Linked DNA regions of Arabidopsis thaliana. The protein of the gene in region 1 purifies or fractionates together with the protein of each later gene. This does not show direct contact. Each region holds a gene or a part of one and is shown in the gene's direction. Other genes may lie near its edges.

What was found.
Region 2: the proteins of FIS1B (region 1) and ARC5 purify together in Arabidopsis thaliana (affinity purification with western blotting, with the first as the bait; one study listed by BioGRID). This does not show direct contact.

Annotation. Positions count from the first base shown.
Region 1 is NC_003076.8:4,008,434-4,015,599, reverse strand, and holds FIS1B (Tetratricopeptide repeat (TPR)-like superfamily protein), read left to right. Parts: upstream 1-3,465; 5' UTR 3,466-3,649; coding exon 3,650-3,757; intron 3,758-3,758; exon of another isoform or gene 3,759-3,962; coding exon 3,963-4,092; intron 4,093-4,215; coding exon 4,216-4,337; intron 4,338-4,424; coding exon 4,425-4,488; intron 4,489-4,572; coding exon 4,573-4,652; 3' UTR 4,653-4,912; coding exon of another isoform or gene 4,913-5,122; 3' UTR 5,123-5,157; downstream 5,158-7,166. Other genes in the region: AT5G12400 (PHD-finger and DNA binding domain-containing protein), read right to left, coding at 1-219, 331-1,787; ANNAT8 (annexin 8), read right to left, coding at 4,913-5,122, 5,214-5,303, 5,460-5,672, 5,753-5,971, 6,058-6,203, 6,305-6,377; exocyst complex component sec10, read left to right, coding at 7,155-7,166. UniProt on the Arabidopsis thaliana protein: Component of the peroxisomal and mitochondrial division machineries. Plays a role in promoting the fission of mitochondria and peroxisomes.
Region 2 is NC_003074.8:6,848,342-6,857,515, reverse strand, and holds ARC5 (P-loop containing nucleoside triphosphate hydrolases superfamily protein), read left to right. Parts: upstream 1-1,925; 5' UTR 1,926-2,126; coding exon 2,127-2,489; intron 2,490-2,650; coding exon 2,651-2,818; intron 2,819-2,913; coding exon 2,914-3,036; intron 3,037-3,112; coding exon 3,113-3,334; intron 3,335-3,410; coding exon 3,411-3,544; intron 3,545-3,635; coding exon 3,636-3,728; coding exon of another isoform or gene 3,729-3,743; intron 3,744-3,842; coding exon 3,843-3,906; intron 3,907-4,293; coding exon 4,294-4,342; coding exon of another isoform or gene 4,343-4,435; intron 4,436-4,625; coding exon 4,626-4,708; intron 4,709-4,941; coding exon 4,942-5,099; intron 5,100-5,243; coding exon 5,244-5,304; intron 5,305-5,615; coding exon 5,616-5,678; intron 5,679-5,765; coding exon 5,766-5,866; intron 5,867-5,970; coding exon 5,971-6,028; intron 6,029-6,134; coding exon 6,135-6,467; intron 6,468-6,563; coding exon 6,564-6,728; intron 6,729-6,829; coding exon 6,830-6,925; 3' UTR 6,926-7,158; downstream 7,159-9,174. Other genes in the region: AT3G19740 (P-loop containing nucleoside triphosphate hydrolases superfamily protein), read left to right, coding at 91-213, 441-524, 650-834, 914-1,052, 1,137-1,196, 1,291-1,362, 1,465-1,572; BCAT4 (branched-chain aminotransferase4), read left to right, coding at 8,087-8,118, 8,227-8,404, 8,775-8,951, 9,052-9,174. UniProt on the Arabidopsis thaliana protein: Mechanochemical GTPase component of both plastid and peroxisome division machinery. Required for the last steps of plastid division specifically in mesophyll-cell, when the narrow isthmus breaks, facilitating the separation of the daughter plastids.

The DNA of each region.
Region 1 (7,166 bases):
TTAAGCTCTGCCCTCACGACTTCAGCATCTGTCATATCATCGCACAAACGACTAAGTATCTCAATTTTCAGATTCACGGGTTGTCTGAAATAATCGTTTCTGAAAAAGTTCAGCCGAGTAAGATCCAATCCAGGGTTGTCTTTGGACCCAGAACATAGTAGGTATTCAACCACAAAAAGGGGATATGTAACCACATCCAACGTATCCCAATCAAGACTCCTGCATTCAAGATACCACCAGCAAAGCATCAGAACCAAAACAGGAGAAGCTTTATATCCATAAAACAGCAGTAAAACTAAAGTACTAAAGAAAGAAAAATAAAAAGTATACCTCAGACAAGCAGACGCAGATAGGTCACCTTCAGCAGCGAGTTGTTTCAAATGTTTTCTTAATATTTGCAAGACAGAAACATGGATGCTATCAAATAATAGACTAGGAGACATGCACCTCAATGCTTCCACAAAATCCTTCAGCTCAAAAGGACTCAAAAACAGCAAAGTACTGAAGGACCTCAGACAAGAGTAAGCAGTAAAGACATCAAGTACAGGAAGACCGTCTAAATCCAAAATAGGGGAGGATGGAGGTAATTGTGGCTTTGGCGGGAGTGCAGAAATATTATCAGCTTTTCCATCAACAATCCAAGTTTTCTCCTCTGTCAGACTACTAATTGAAGGAGAAGGGGATACTTCCTCAACAAAGCAAGCTGTTACAGTACTACTGACAGGCGATCGAGCTAACCTTCTACGAGCGCTTCTTCTCAACTGAGGTTCACTCATGAATTTTGGATTGTCAGAAGCTTTTCTTCTTTTCCTCCTACCACTTGTATATTCACCTGAATTTCCCCTATCAGAGAGAGTCTCATCAACAGTCTTAGCATCATGATGAGGTAGATCAGGATCCTTCTCAACCCCATTAGAATTAAGATTCTTGAGATCTTGCGGTGAAACAATGTTCTGCTTCTGTATCTCCTCCAAAAGCTCAGCGCTGGACACTTCAGCAACATGAACTTCTTTATATTCCCCAGTCTCAATATTATCCTGGGCACCATTTCCGTCCTGCATGTTGATTTCTTGAACAATGTCATTTCCATTCATTTGACTGTACTCCTCATCCTTGCTGTTCTCTACATCAACCTCCACGTTCAAATCAAATCCTACCTCCCTCTTCTGCCCACTGAAATCACAGATAGCAGCATTGTCCAAATCACAGCTCGCATCCATGTTCAGATCAATATCCCACTTCCGTTTGTCACTACAATTTTCTTCATAATCGATATTTACATTAACCAAACCTAGATTTTCATTCGAATTCCAATCCAACCCAGTAGTCAAATCAAATCCAGTTTCCGATTCCGACACCGTCCTATTCAAATCCGTGACAGAGGAGTCCCATGTCCTACCTAGGGTTTCCACAGGACCACAATTCAAATCAACATTCCCTCTCAAATTCTCCTCACTAACTCCCGAATTCTCCGCAACTCCATCATTTAAATCGACATTTACCTCATTCAACCCAGAGCTCTCTCGCTTGATCTCAACCACCCTCGCAACACGAGACCGTTTCTTCGGCTTCCTACCAACTCTCTTCTTCTTCACTGGAACCGAATTCTCCTGAGATTTACCATCTCCCATCACGAGAGCAACAACCTCATCCAATTCCGAAATCTCCGTAACACCGTTCTCATAAACGATCTCGAAAAATCCAGACGAATCGCGAGATCGAACCGTCCCGGAGCAAAACCCAATCCCTTGGATCTCCTTCCTAACGACTTTACCAACCAGCTCCATTGCTACAAAAGCTTGCTCTCGCTTCACGATACAAGCGAATCAAAGAAAACCCATAGCCAAAGTCTCTCTGGATTGCAAAAAAAAAAGGAGAAGCGCTGGGTTTTCACTTTATTCTAGAAACGCTTGCAACGTGCAAGGAGAGAGAGACAAGGACAGAGATTCTCTCTCTTCTTAATTCTCGGAAGCAAAGAAAAAAAAGTAGAAAGAGAATTCTTCTTCTACAGAGAAACGAAACGTCTTAACGAATTCTCTCAGTGATGATGAGAAGAAACAAAGACGGGTTGGTCAATGTTAGGAAGAGAAGGCCATCTCTCTCTCTCTCTCTCCCCCCTCCCACACTACTCTTTTTTTTTCACCTTTTTTTCTTATTTATGGTCAAAGGATGTGTGATATGTATATTGTGATATGTTTGCCTGTTTTTTTACCTTATTTATATGAATTGGTACTCTAACTAACAAGTTACAACTATGTCATTACATGTGTGATTGATTTCTTGATGTACAGTTTATTATTTTCCAAGTATTCAAATAATTTAATTTATATAAATATATAAGTAAAATAAATAAAAATTGGTAAATATTATTAACTAAAATGTTAAATTTGTTGATATAATTTATGTTATAATTAATGGATATTTTATGTTAATATATGTGTTGTATAATTTCAAAATATTATTCTAAGAAACACATTTGTATACAACTACAATAAAGATTTGACACATGGAAATGTTGTCCTAATTTTGTTTTTTCATCTTATTCTCTTTTTAGAGGTACATTTGTGCTAGTTTGTTCATGTTTGTCAATATTCGATAAATACTCTCTTTGTTAGTTTCGAAAGTATATATATCCACCAATCTTACTCTCGAATGTCATTCTCTAACCAATCTGCAATTTCTCCTAACTAAAAATTCCTAGTGGAGATAAAGCATGACGGAATGAATGCATGATGGACAAATTAGTATAAAAACTCATGAAGATTTGATGTTTTTGTTTTTGCTAAAAGGTAAATATCATTAATATGAAATAGAGTTTGGATTTATATTTTGATTATCAATACAATTCCTAGTAAAAAAAAGGTTTGAGAAAGAGAAATTAATATAACATACAAAAATTTATAAATTAGATAACTAACCAAAAAAAAAAATTATATGATATTGTGAGTATAATATATATCAATACATTTTTATCCTTTTAAAAACCATCACTATTACCACTTTTGGCCACCACCACCTCCGGCCACCACCTTCGTCCACGACAACGTCCAGTCACCACCACCGTTCACCACCACGTCCGGCCACCATCACCTCCGGCCACTATTTCCGACCACCACAACCTTCGGCTACCACCACTTCCAGCCATAACCACCTCCGGCCACCACAAATTCCGGCCACTACCCTCGGCCACCATCATTCTCAATCACAACCACTTCCGGCCACCACCATCTCTGACCACCACCACCTCCGGCCACCACCGCGTCCAGTCACTATCACCTCCACCAAAACCAATTTGGTCAATAATTACCCTTTATAGTTAGTTACTACATTTTTAAAATTATAGTGTTAGTTTGTTAATTATTTTATCAAATGTTTGTTTTGCAATTCACTCTGTCAATTTTTTTTTTTTTTTTGTTAAACCAATATTATCTTTATAAAGAAAACATTAATATGATAATAAATTAATAACAATATCCACCTAAAATTCTAAATTAATTTAAAAAATCTCTAAATTTACGCAAAAATTTTATTGCCGTCAAATTTCTGGACTGGTCTTCGTCAAAGAAAAATAGCTGAGCACAAGGGGAGGATCATCGTCAAAGCCAACGAGAAGAATACTCTGAAATATCTTGAAGCTGCGACAGGAAAAATGGACGCGGCGATAGGGAAGGTTTTCGATTCCGTCTCAGACTTCTTCTCCGGCGCTGCTTCTGCTTCCGCCGATGAGTTTCCCTTGTGCGATTCCGACATCATCTCCGTAAGTTTTATGATTCACCACCTTTTATGTTCCTCAACTTGACACGCACAGGAACCTCGAATCACAAATTTCCAATTGTTTTAATATCTCCTTCATCGGATTTTGGATTCTCTTGCGTTGCTTGTCCTTGTAAAGAATTTTTTTGTGTTTGGCCTGAATTTTGGCATGCATACATAATTTTGTAAGGAATTGACATCGTTCTCAGGGATGTGAGAAAGAACTTGCAGAGGCTCAAGACGAAGGACGTAAGAAGGAATGCATTATGCGTCTTTCATGGGCTCTTGTTCATTCAAAGATGCCTTCGGATATTCAGCGTGGGATTGCAATGCTTGAAGGTAATAGCTTATGTTCACACTTTCTATGGAATCTTCAGCTGCCTATTGTTCTTCCAAAAGGTGGATGCTTTGATCCATATGACTGGTTTGATCTTAGCAAAGTGTTTTGCTTTGTTTTCGCAGCTTTGGTGGTTAATGATACAAGTGCAATGAAACTTAGGGAGAAGCTATATCTCCTTGCTCTTGGTTACTATCGAAGCGGTGACTTTTCAAGAAGCCGGGATTGTATAGAACGGTGTTTGGAGGTTTGATCATCTGTTCCATGGATAACTCCTGAATATCTTATTGTTGATGTATTCTACAATGCCTTCTTTTTCTTTCTGTGGTTTTAGGTTGAACCGGAGTCCGGACAGGCTCAGGCACTCAAAAAGGCTATAGAGGACCGTATTGTGAAAGGTACTATTGTGTCAACTGTCCACACATCGTCCATTAGAATCTTCAGCTGCTTTTTCTTAACTCTCTTTTGATTTTTGAAATCAGATGGTGTGATTGGCGTTGGAATTGCTGTTACTGCTGTAGGGGTTGTTGCTGGTATTGCTGCAGCCATATTACGCAGCTAAGGAGGAAAGAACCCATACATGTACATGTTTCCCTTATTTTCAGTGAGTCTGTTTAGTTTCTTTGTGTCCTTCAAAGAATGTCTTTATTAAGGAAAATTATGTAATTCCTGTTTTACTATGAAAAGCTAAACAACAGAACTGATTGAGGAAGCATCAAACAGAAAACTTTATTATTACTTCAGCGTTAAATATAGTTTTATTCCATACTAGAAAATTAGAAGAGATGCAACTGTTTTAAGGTGTTAAGTTGAGGATGAACTCTAAAGTTGTTTTCCATGTCCTAGCAAAGCTAGAAGAAAGGCCTTGTAGTCCCCTGATGTCTCTTTTGCTATAGCTTGATCGAGACTCACATTGTTCCTCTTAAAGTACAGCCCAGTTATATTCGTCAGGTCCTTTTCTGCTCGTGTGACAATCACACGGTTCAGAGCATCTTCATCAGTCCCCACCGTGTTGATTGAATTGCGCAAAACCTACGTGCATTAGGGATTAACCATATGAATACCAGTTAGTTTTATTGGGATAATTTAGAGAACACATCTAAACAATATTGTTGCATCCTACCTTTGCATAATACCGGGTAGGGTTTTTGATGCACCTGATGGCTGCACGTAGTGCACTCAGGTACTCATTTGTAGGGTGATTGAGGAGATCCTGGTCATCAAATGTTTCATTAAGGACAGCAAAAAGAACATTGTCATGAAGAAAAACTGGTATGACTGCTGTATTGTTGTCTAGAAATTTCCAATTGATTGCTTTGTCACAGATCAGTTATAACATAACTTGATGTTCATTTTTTTGTTTGTATACCTTAGTGATCGATGTGCCATATATATCCTTGTAGCGGTTGAAGATTGCGCTAAGCTGCATGCTGCTCCTTGTACTTAACACCCTGATCGTTTCTTCGTGATCAACAGCCTTACCAAGGATTTCATCATGAAGAATCGCAGCCTCTGATTGCGCCAGCATCTCATCAATTTCTTCTCCATCATATTTATAAGCAGACACCATTGCAACCAAGAGCTGTATATATCAAGAAACGCCCAAGCGTTGAAGATCAGTCAAAACTAGAAGAAACTATCTGGAAATTTAAAATTACTTACTCTCCTGATGTCGCCAATAGTACGGGAGGCCAAGTCTTCCTCAAGAGAATGCTTGTAGAGGCAACGGTAAGCACGTCTAGCAGCTAACATATCTTCAGGGGATCTCATGCAGGCAATTTCGACAAGAACCTTGTAGTCAGGAATAGGCTTTTGAAGAGCCAAGTTAGCCAAGAGAGCATCTCTCTCTGGAGGATCCAAGACCCACAAGCAAATAGCTCTCTGCAGGTAACAAATATATTTATCTTTTGTGGATTATTGAAATAGAGTAGAGTAGAGCACATGGAGGAGATATATAAAATCTAAACCTCAAAATTGCCAGAGAGCTCAGATTTGAGCTGGTGAATGAGATCCTCATGGTAAATCTCCTGGTAAGCTTGTCTTATGAGCTTCCTCTGGAACAAATTCCGGTGTCCTAAGATCGAGATGATGGCATTTTCATTGGTTCCCCATCCTAAAACGCCAAATAGAAATAAAGAAGAGGAGTAAAGGAGATAGCAAGAAACTTGATGAACCACATAAGTTTTGAAACACTAATCCAAAGAAAAGTAGAACCTTGACAAGCCGCCTTGATGTTTTCAGCGTCTTCGACAGGGGAGAAATGTGGAGGAGAAACAATGGTGGCCATTTTGTTTTTTCTGTTTCTGCGTAAGATATCTTTGACTCAGATTAATCACTTGTTGGATATTGCTTCCATTGCTTTGAGCACTCTTAATTTATAAGAGTTGGTAATGATGTTACAATGCTTTGAAGAGACCAGAAAATGTTTCAAACGGCTCATTGATTGTTTTTGCTCTATGTTAATCTGAAACTCTCTCTGTTAACGCCACCCCTTTATGTATATGACTTTGCCGTTATTTTTTCAGGAATTAAGTTTTCATAAGGAATATTATTGCATCCCATAACACAAAAGCTAACTGTAAACACGAACACAAATATTTTTGCCTTAGAAAAAAATTAACAAATTAACAGTTGATCAAATTCGTTAACCGGCCGGTTTAGGAAAAAAAAACTCGTATAAAATAAAATTAACAGCTCATCAGGAGGGAGCTCATAGTTGTGAAAAGTCCGCCATTGAAGACCGTCTCTCTTTTCTCCGTCTTTTTCTCCCTGCAGTTACCGGATTCCTCCGGCTAGATCTCTCCGTTCATCGCCGGTAAGTTGCTCCATATTACATTTTTCCTTTCCCGTGTGCGCGATTGGTCATCTATAGGTTCTAAATTTTGTTGCATTCGGCGGAGTAAACAGCGATTACCGGTGATGACTTAACTTAGAAGATTTACGCTAGTGTAGTATCATTGAAGAATCCAGAATCATACGCATCTCTTTCTGCTATTTATTGAATGTTTCATATATGATCTGTCAGACTTGATTCTTCAATTCTTTGAATTTTCCATTTTATCAGATGACAGAAGGA
Region 2 (9,174 bases), on another chromosome or scaffold:
TGTTATATACATGTCATTATGTTCTTGACTATGGACTTGGAATTTTCTCGTCTGGGTTTTCTTGAATGCGTGTGTCTTTGTTTTTTCCAGCCATGTAAAGGCATATTGCTTTTTGGTCCTCCGGGTACGGGTAAAACGCTGCTTGCCAAGGCGCTTGCAACAGAAGCTGGGGCAAACTTCATTAGCATAACTGGCTCAACGCTTACCTCAAAGGTACATGGAACCTTAAAACTATGTTGTTTGCACTGTCACGTTGATATTCCACTTTGTAAACATCTTCATATAAATAAGGAGAATATCTAATGACATAAGAAAAACTTTTCCACCCCGGTCATCGACTTATTATTGTCAATGCCGATTGTAACTTAGAGTAAATCTCTTTCCAACTTTACCTCTGATTGGTTCTGATTTAAGTCAATTTCGTCCATTGTTTGGCACAGTGGTTTGGAGATGCAGAGAAGCTCACGAAGGCTTTGTTCTCTTTTGCAAGCAAACTAGCCCCCGTCATTATATTTGTTGATGAGGTGAGAAATTGTTTAGCTTTATATCACTTTTCAATTTCGGTTATTGCTTTTTATGAGGAATACTTTTGTGATGCGTAAAATGTGTTACTCAAGGACTAACTGTAATTTATTTTGTTGTCGTATAGGTTGACAGTTTGTTGGGTGCTCGTGGTGGTGCTTTTGAGCACGAGGCAACACGAAGAATGAGAAATGAGTTTATGGCAGCTTGGGATGGACTCAGATCAAAAGATAGCCAAAGGATTCTCATTCTCGGTGCCACCAACCGACCTTTTGATCTTGATGACGCTGTCATTCGTAGGCTACCAAGACGGTAATTTAAGCTTTCAAGTAATTTCTCCTTTGGAATATTTGTATCTTTTCGATAATTGTATTGAGGCTTGTGTTTATAGGATATATGTGGATTTACCAGATGCGGAAAACCGGTTGAAGATATTGAAGATATTTCTGACACCAGAAAATCTTGAAACTGGTTTCGAGTTTGATAAACTTGCAAAGGAAACCGAAGGATATTCAGGAAGCGATCTAAAGGTTTGGTCATTCGGGGTTTCATTTACAAGTTCGAGTATGATTCAACACAGTAGTTCTGATTCCTTTTCTTTTCTTACATTGCAGAATCTATGCATAGCAGCTGCATACAGACCTGTTCAAGAATTGTTACAAGAAGAAAACAAGGTAAGGACATGCATAAACCCACACAGTTGATTTCTGTTGTTACGAAAAATAATTTTTGTACTCACTCCATGCTTTTGAAACGTCGAATTATCAGGACTCGGTAACAAATGCGTCCCCTGATCTACGACCACTGAGTTTGGACGACTTCATTCAATCCAAAGCTAAGGTATTGATCAATCTCTTAAAAAACATCATCATCATCTCTATTCATGTTTTTTCCCCTGGTGTTTGCATTATCGAAATTGCGTCATTGTAATGTAATTTGCAGGTAAGTCCGTCAGTGGCATACGACGCGACGACAATGAACGAATTGAGAAAATGGAACGAGCAATACGGTGAAGGAGGGACCCGAACTAAGTCTCCTTTCGGCTTCTAAGCCACAGTTTTGTTACATTCATCAATGTCTCTCTTTAACAATAGAACTCGTTGATTTGTTCCATGTCGTAACAATAAAAGTCACTATTTCAATTTTAATCATAGTTACACAAGAGAGACCTTTAAGAAATGAAAAAATAGTAAATTAACAAGTCGTCATTTGCTCAAAATATTTCTGGTTTCTCATCCAATAATCACAATTCTGTACTACATAGTTATCACAAATCCTTTGAGATAATATTTCTGCATATACTATTGGTCAAGACAAAGCAAATCCTTTGTATTTGCCGACCAAAAAAAAAAAATCCTTAAACTCTCTCCTTACGCGCTCTTTTATTTAAATTTAGCGGAGAACTATTACAACGTTGACTCAACGCGCCATGGATGCGCGTGAGATTAAAACACAAAAAATATTTCTTTTGACAAAAATTGAAATTAGCCGTATCTGCTAATTCCATGGCGGAAAAAGGAACGGCGACGAAAACTAAAGAGTAGAAGAAATAAGAGACACTCTCTTACTCTTACTCTTCCTCTTGCTCATTTTCGTAAGAGACGATGGCGGAAGTATCAGCAAAATCGGTGACGGTTGAGGAAATGGCGGAAGAGGACGACGCTGCGATTGAGGAGCGGTGGAGTCTTTACGAAGCTTACAACGAGTTACACGCTTTGGCGCAGGAATTGGAGACGCCGTTCGAAGCACCGGCGGTTCTTGTGGTGGGACAGCAGACCGACGGTAAAAGTGCGCTTGTGGAAGCTCTTATGGGGTTTCAATTTAACCATGTCGGCGGCGGAACCAAGACTCGTCGGCCGATTACTCTCCATATGAAGTACGATCCTCAGTGTCAATTCCCGCTTTGTCATCTCGGATCTGATGATGATCCTTCCGTTTCTCTTCCCAAATCTCTCTCACAAATTCAGGTGTTTTGTTATTATTATTACTTGTGCTTCTTCAATTGCTTGTTTCTGCGTATAAATTCTGGGAAGATTTTGACGAATGTTGAGAAACACAAGTACTTAGGTTTATTGTAGAGAAGCGAAATGCTCATGTTAACGAAATTTGTTATATGATTTGGAGTTAGGCATATATTGAGGCTGAGAACATGAGGCTGGAGCAAGAGCCATGTAGCCCATTCTCTGCAAAGGAGATTATTGTGAAAGTCCAGTATAAGTATTGTCCAAACCTTACCATCATTGATACACCTGGACTTATTGCTCCTGCACCAGGACTGAAAAACCGAGCTCTTCAGGTTGTTTTTTCTTATGGCTTCCAGCCAATTCCGTGGCTGATTTCATGTTTTGGTTTTGCTTTATTTGAGAGTGGGTTACTTGTTCTTTTTCTTAGGTTCAAGCACGGGCTGTGGAAGCTCTAGTCCGAGCAAAGATGCAACACAAAGAGTTCATCATTTTATGCCTCGAAGATAGCAGTGACTGGAGCATTGCAACCACTCGAAGGATAGTGATGCAAGTACGTTGCTTGACGTAACTCCATTGCGTCTAACCTTGTCTTTATTTTTGTTAAAGTTTGTTTCTCGTTCATGTAGGTTGATCCTGAGCTTTCTAGGACAATTGTTGTTTCTACAAAGCTTGACACTAAAATCCCTCAATTCTCATGTTCATCTGACGTGGAAGTCTTTCTCTCACCTCCTGCAAGCGCACTTGACAGCTCCTTATTGGGCGATTCTCCTTTTTTCACGTCTGTGCCTTCTGGAAGAGTTGGCTATGGACAGGATTCAGTGTATAAGTCTAATGACGAGTTCAAACAGGTCTCTGCTCTGCTGTCTGATTCCTTAAACAAGTTAAACAGGTCTTTTTCTAAACTATGTGTGGTTTTTATTACAGGCTGTGTCACTTAGAGAAATGGAAGACATTGCATCTTTAGAGAAGAAGTTGGGCCGTTTACTGACAAAACAGGAAAAGAGTAGGATTGGCATCAGTAAACTGAGGTTGTTTCTGGAAGAACTACTCTGGAAAAGGTATAACTGTTGTTTTAACTCTGATTTTTCCAGCCTCTGTTTCTATTGTAGTTTACTTTTCGCTGTAGTCTTGATGCCCTTCTCTTTCCAGGTACAAAGAGAGTGTTCCATTGATCATTCCACTGTTAGGAAAGGAGTACCGCAGTACAGTCAGAAAGCTGGATACCGTGAGCAAGGAACTTAGGTCGCAATTTGTTTTGTCTGAAAATGTCTACTTGATTTTAGGCAGTTTAATTGTTAGCTACTGATTTATAGAAAATATAACTCATTGGAGGTTGAATAATTCCTTTCAATGCAGCTCTTTGGATGAAGCAAAACTCAAAGAGAGAGGCAGGACTTTCCATGATCTCTTCTTAACCAAGGTAACTGTAGAGAGCATTTCGTTTTTTTAGATTTCTATTTACACCTTCCCATACCTTTTCATTTTTGCCTGGACTCGTGGATTAATAGTTTTTGTATAATTACAACAAGTTCATTTGTGTAAACTTCTCTTTTTTTTTGGTTTATTAACTACTGACACATAAAAACAAATTTGTTTATTGATTACTGACACATATAAAATTATGCTACAGTAAATGATATCTAGGACTTGCTACAAATTCAGAATGGCTGTAAACTTTTTGTGTTGGATGCCCTTAAGACTTTAAAATTGCTGCGTCATATTTTCTGATTGACGTACGAAGTACCTTTGTTAGTATTGATCAGTGCTGTGTTTTCTCACCTGTTTTGTTTATATTTTTCTTGATCAGTTATCGCTGTTATTGAAGGGAACAGTTGTGGCCCCTCCAGATAAATTTGGTAATGTTACTGCTCTGTTCTCTGCTAGTCAACTTCTTTGGCATAAACTTTTCTTGTTTCTGGGTGTTGTTAAATTGGACTTTTGCAAAATCAGTTTAGTTAAATGCATATTGTTCAATTCGACTGGGTCACCAGACTGCGATGATTACACATGGAATGATGTATGCTAATCAATCAATCATTGGTCATGATACTTTGGTTACTGGCAGAAGCACATTTTATAACAGCATTCTCTTTATGTTGGGTTCTTTGATTGTTAATAATTTCTCATGGTGTTTTTCAGGTGAGACACTGCAAGATGAAAGGACACAAGGAGGAGCATTTGTTGGTACTGATGGTCTCCAGTTTTCACATAAGCTAATACCGGTAAGTCTTTCCCTGAAGCAGAATATTGTTGGACTTTATAGAGCAAGCTGGGCATGGTCTTCAAATCCAGTTGTCTTGTTCTTGTACATGGATTATAATATGATGGAAGATAAATTTGACCGCATGAAACATATGTGCCAAAGAATAATGTATTGGAAACAAATAAAAGAGATACTTCGTTGGACCTTCAAGAATTATGAGAGACCATAACCAGATTATCTTTCATTTTACAGAATGCAGGGATGCGTCTCTATGGGGGTGCACAATATCACCGTGCCATGGCTGAGTTTCGTTTTCTAGTTGGTGCTATCAAATGTCCCCCAATAACGAGGGAGGAAATTGTAAATGCATGTGGAGTTGAGGATATTCATGATGGAACAAACTATTCCAGGTATCATAGGATTGACTGACATGCAACACACTTCTCAATTTATTGTCTTTGCATCCCAGACCCCTTTCAGTATCTAATCTGAGCTGCAACGTTTGTCATGTTTTCTATGGCCTCTTATTCTCTTTCTCTTATTTGCTGTTGTAGAACAGCTTGTGTTATAGCAGTTGCGAAGGCTCGTGAGACGTTTGAACCTTTCCTTCATCAGGTGACATAGATATAGCTACTTTTTTCTTTTTCTTTCGTGGAGGATGGAAAGCAATTTTACTAATTAGTTAAGGTGTACTGTACGTAAAAAAAAAAATGAAATATAACGTTATATATTGAAATCATACTACCATTCAGTTTTGAGATTTGCTGGAACTTATTTGTGCATAAGAGTTATCGAGTAAACATGTTCTGCTTACAGAAACTATGTTTGGGAATACTTTCATCTGAAATTTTGTTATTCACATGTTTCTCTTTCCATACAGAAAGTTTTTTCCAGTTCTCATTTTCGTTTGTTTTGCGTTGATATAGTTAGGGGCGAGGCTTCTACACATTCTCAAGAGATTGCTTCCAATTTCTGTATATCTTCTTCAGGTAGGTACTGTTTTCTTTGGTTTGACGGTATCATACTCATGATCCCTTTCCAGCAAATTTTTTGATGTATGTTCTAAATTTGAATAGAAAGAAGGTGAATATTTAAGTGGGCATGAGGTGTTTCTCAAGCGGGTTGCTTCAGCATTCAACAGTTTTGTGGAGTCCACAGAAAAATCATGTCGTGACAAGTAATTCTATTTCCAATTCCTGTTCTTACCATGTCGGTGCCTCCTACCTGTGTTCTAGTGAGCTTTAGTGATTGATCACCCTTTGGATTTTATATTGTTTGCAGATGTATGGAGGATTTAGCAAGTACAACTCGCTATGTTACATGGTCTCTTCACAACAAGGTCATTGCTACAGCCCTATAGCTCTGTTTCAATCCAATTGAGTTGTGTACATACCATCAAGTATCCGTTTCTGATTGAGTAGTTTTCGTTTCTCAATGTTATGTAGAACCGAGCTGGTCTACGTCAATTCTTGGACTCATTTGGTGGAACAGAGCATAATACGACATCAGGTAATGCCATAGGATTTAGTCTTCCCCAAGATGCATTAGGTGGCACAACAGACACCAAGTCAAGATCAGATGTAAAGCTAAGCCATCTCGCCTCAAACATCGATTCAGGTTCCAGTATTCAGACAACAGAAATGCGGTTGGCTGATCTTCTAGATAGCACACTTTGGAACCGCAAGCTTGCTCCTTCCTCTGAGAGAATTGTGTACGCATTGGTCCAACAGATATTCCAGGGCATACGAGAGTACTTTCTCGCCTCTGCTGAGTTAAAGGTTTGCTCCTACTTCAGTTTTTACTCAGATTCTTCTTGCTTTTAAAATGACTTTTCTTTTAAAAAGTTTGTATCTGTGTTTTCTTTTGTTCTGCAGTTCAACTGTTTTCTTCTAATGCCCATCGTTGATAAGTTACCTGCTCTTCTCCGGGAAGAGTTGGAAAACGCATTTGAAGACGACCTCGATAGTATCTTCGACATCACGAATCTCCGGCAATCACTTGATCAAAAGAAACGGAGCACAGAGATCGAGCTCAGAAGGGTAAACCAAACTGACTTCTATGATCAATGTCTCTTTTTTCTATTTGCCATTGGAAGTATGCAGGAGAACTAACATTATGTTATGTGTCATGTTTTGGACAGATAAAGAGGATAAAAGAGAAATTCAGAGTGATGAATGAGAAGCTAAACTCTCATGAATTTGCTCAAAATCTAAAGGCTCCTTCGGTGCAGCATTGAGTGACTCAAGTTCAATATTGCTTAATTATATTAGGTTAAGAAACAATCGAAGAGTGAGGGAACATCTTATGTGTACTTTGTATGTCCAAAAACATACTAAAGAACGTTGTCGTTTCAAGTGATTAAGGTTTCGCTTTTTGGTCCAATGTTTGCAAATTTCAGTTTTGTAGAAACGACAGTCGTATCATTTATTTCTAAATAAATTATAATCAGTAAATCTAAAAGGAAAAAAAAATGTCGAATAAAAAATACCATCTAGAAAATTATTTTAAAAACTATATGGATGTGAAAAAGAAAAAAAAAATGTAACATGTGGATAGAGGATAGCTATTCTTGGAACTTAGAAATATGCTATTTGAATCGAAAGTATTTATTTAGTTAAATGGTTCTTTGATTATATTTCTATGTTCTTTTATTAGATTATTTACAGCTTGAAGTTTTTTTTATGTTTTTAATTTTTATCCATCACTAATACACATATGACCTACCCTCCTACCCATTAACCTCCACCTAACTACGAGCGCATTCACATTTTAAACACTCTCTTTCTTTCAACCATTTCCTCAAAAATATAATAAAGAAGTAAAAAATAAGCTTAACGTTTTCTCCACGTGACAAGAACCAAATGTTTCTCCACGTGATGATTATCTCGTGATCTAACTAGAGTTTCCGATTAATCTTAATAGTAAATTAACCGACCAATTTTTAGTCATATAACTTGAATATTAAGAAGGAAACTACAACTTATTTTTGAATAAACGTAAAACTGATCACTGAGTAAAAAAAAAATCATTTTCTTTTTACTTCTACCAAGTTATTTTTGATTAATAAATACGTACGTACACTATAATCGTAATATAAAAAAAATAAAAATAAATAAATAGATGATATATACCTACTAAAGACTAAAGAGTTAAGATACGTTGAAGTACTACAAGCTAATTTCTTTTTTAAGAAATAGAACAAAGAGATATTATTTATTTTCGTTTAAGTTTATTATTATAATAAAAAACAATTTGTTGTAAAAATAGAAAAAAAAAAAAAAAAAAAATTGTTGTAAACGTATATATAAAGAGAAGTATTCCAAAGCTTTATAGACAACTCAAGTTTCTTGCAATTACCTACTTACAACAAAGCAACTCGACTCGAACAAACACATCCATGGCTCCTTCTGCGCAACCTCTTCCTGTGAGGTAAAATATTTCTGTATCGTCGAACAAATTATATTGTTTAAATCTGATAGTATGAAATATGATTTGGCGATCTTTTTTTTGTTTTTTTTTATTTATCAAAATTTACAGTGTTTCGGATGAAAAATATGCGAATGTCAAGTGGGAAGAGTTGGCATTCAAGTTTGTTCGTACGGATTATATGTATGTTGCGAAGTGCAATCATGGAGAGAGTTTTCAAGAGGGGAAGATTCTTCCTTTTGCTGATTTGCAACTTAACCCTTGCGCTGCTGTTCTTCAGTATGGCCAGGTTTGTTATATATGACTTAAAAGAATGAATATAAATCTAGATCGTTATTAGATGAAACAGAAAAAACTATTAACACATGAATATATAGCTTTCTCACTGATAATAAAATGATTGAGCTAATTATCATAAATATAATTACATAGTATACTATTGAGTTAGCAACTATATTGTATGCATATTTGAGCTATAAACTATTGAAAAAATGAAATAGTTGTACATATATGTATTAATGTATATCAACGAACCGAATAGTATGAAAGTATTGATATTCCTATCAAATCATTGTATGTGATCTAGTTTCGCAACAATTCTTAAGTAATGGTTTGATACTAATTTACTGGAATATTTATGGTGGTTTGGGAATGATTAGGGTTTATATGAAGGACTGAAAGCTTACAGGACAGAAGATGGTCGGATTCTGCTATTCCGACCAGACCAAAACGGTCTCCGCCTTCAAGCCGGAGCTGACAGACTCTATATGCCTTATCCTTCGGTCGATCAATTCGTCTCCGCCATCAAACAAGTTGCTCTTGCCAACAAGAAATGGGTATATTATATATATTGATTGTTGTATGAATTCGTCAAGATAATAAAACCTTATAAAATGAAAGATATAATCAATGGGGTTTTCTTATATATGTACGCAGATTCCTCCTCCGGGGAAAGGAACATTGTATATTAGGCCTATCTTGTTTGGGAGTGGTCCGATTCTTGGTTCATTTCCCATTCCTGAGACCACCTTCACAGCTTTTGCCTGTCCTGTTGGACGT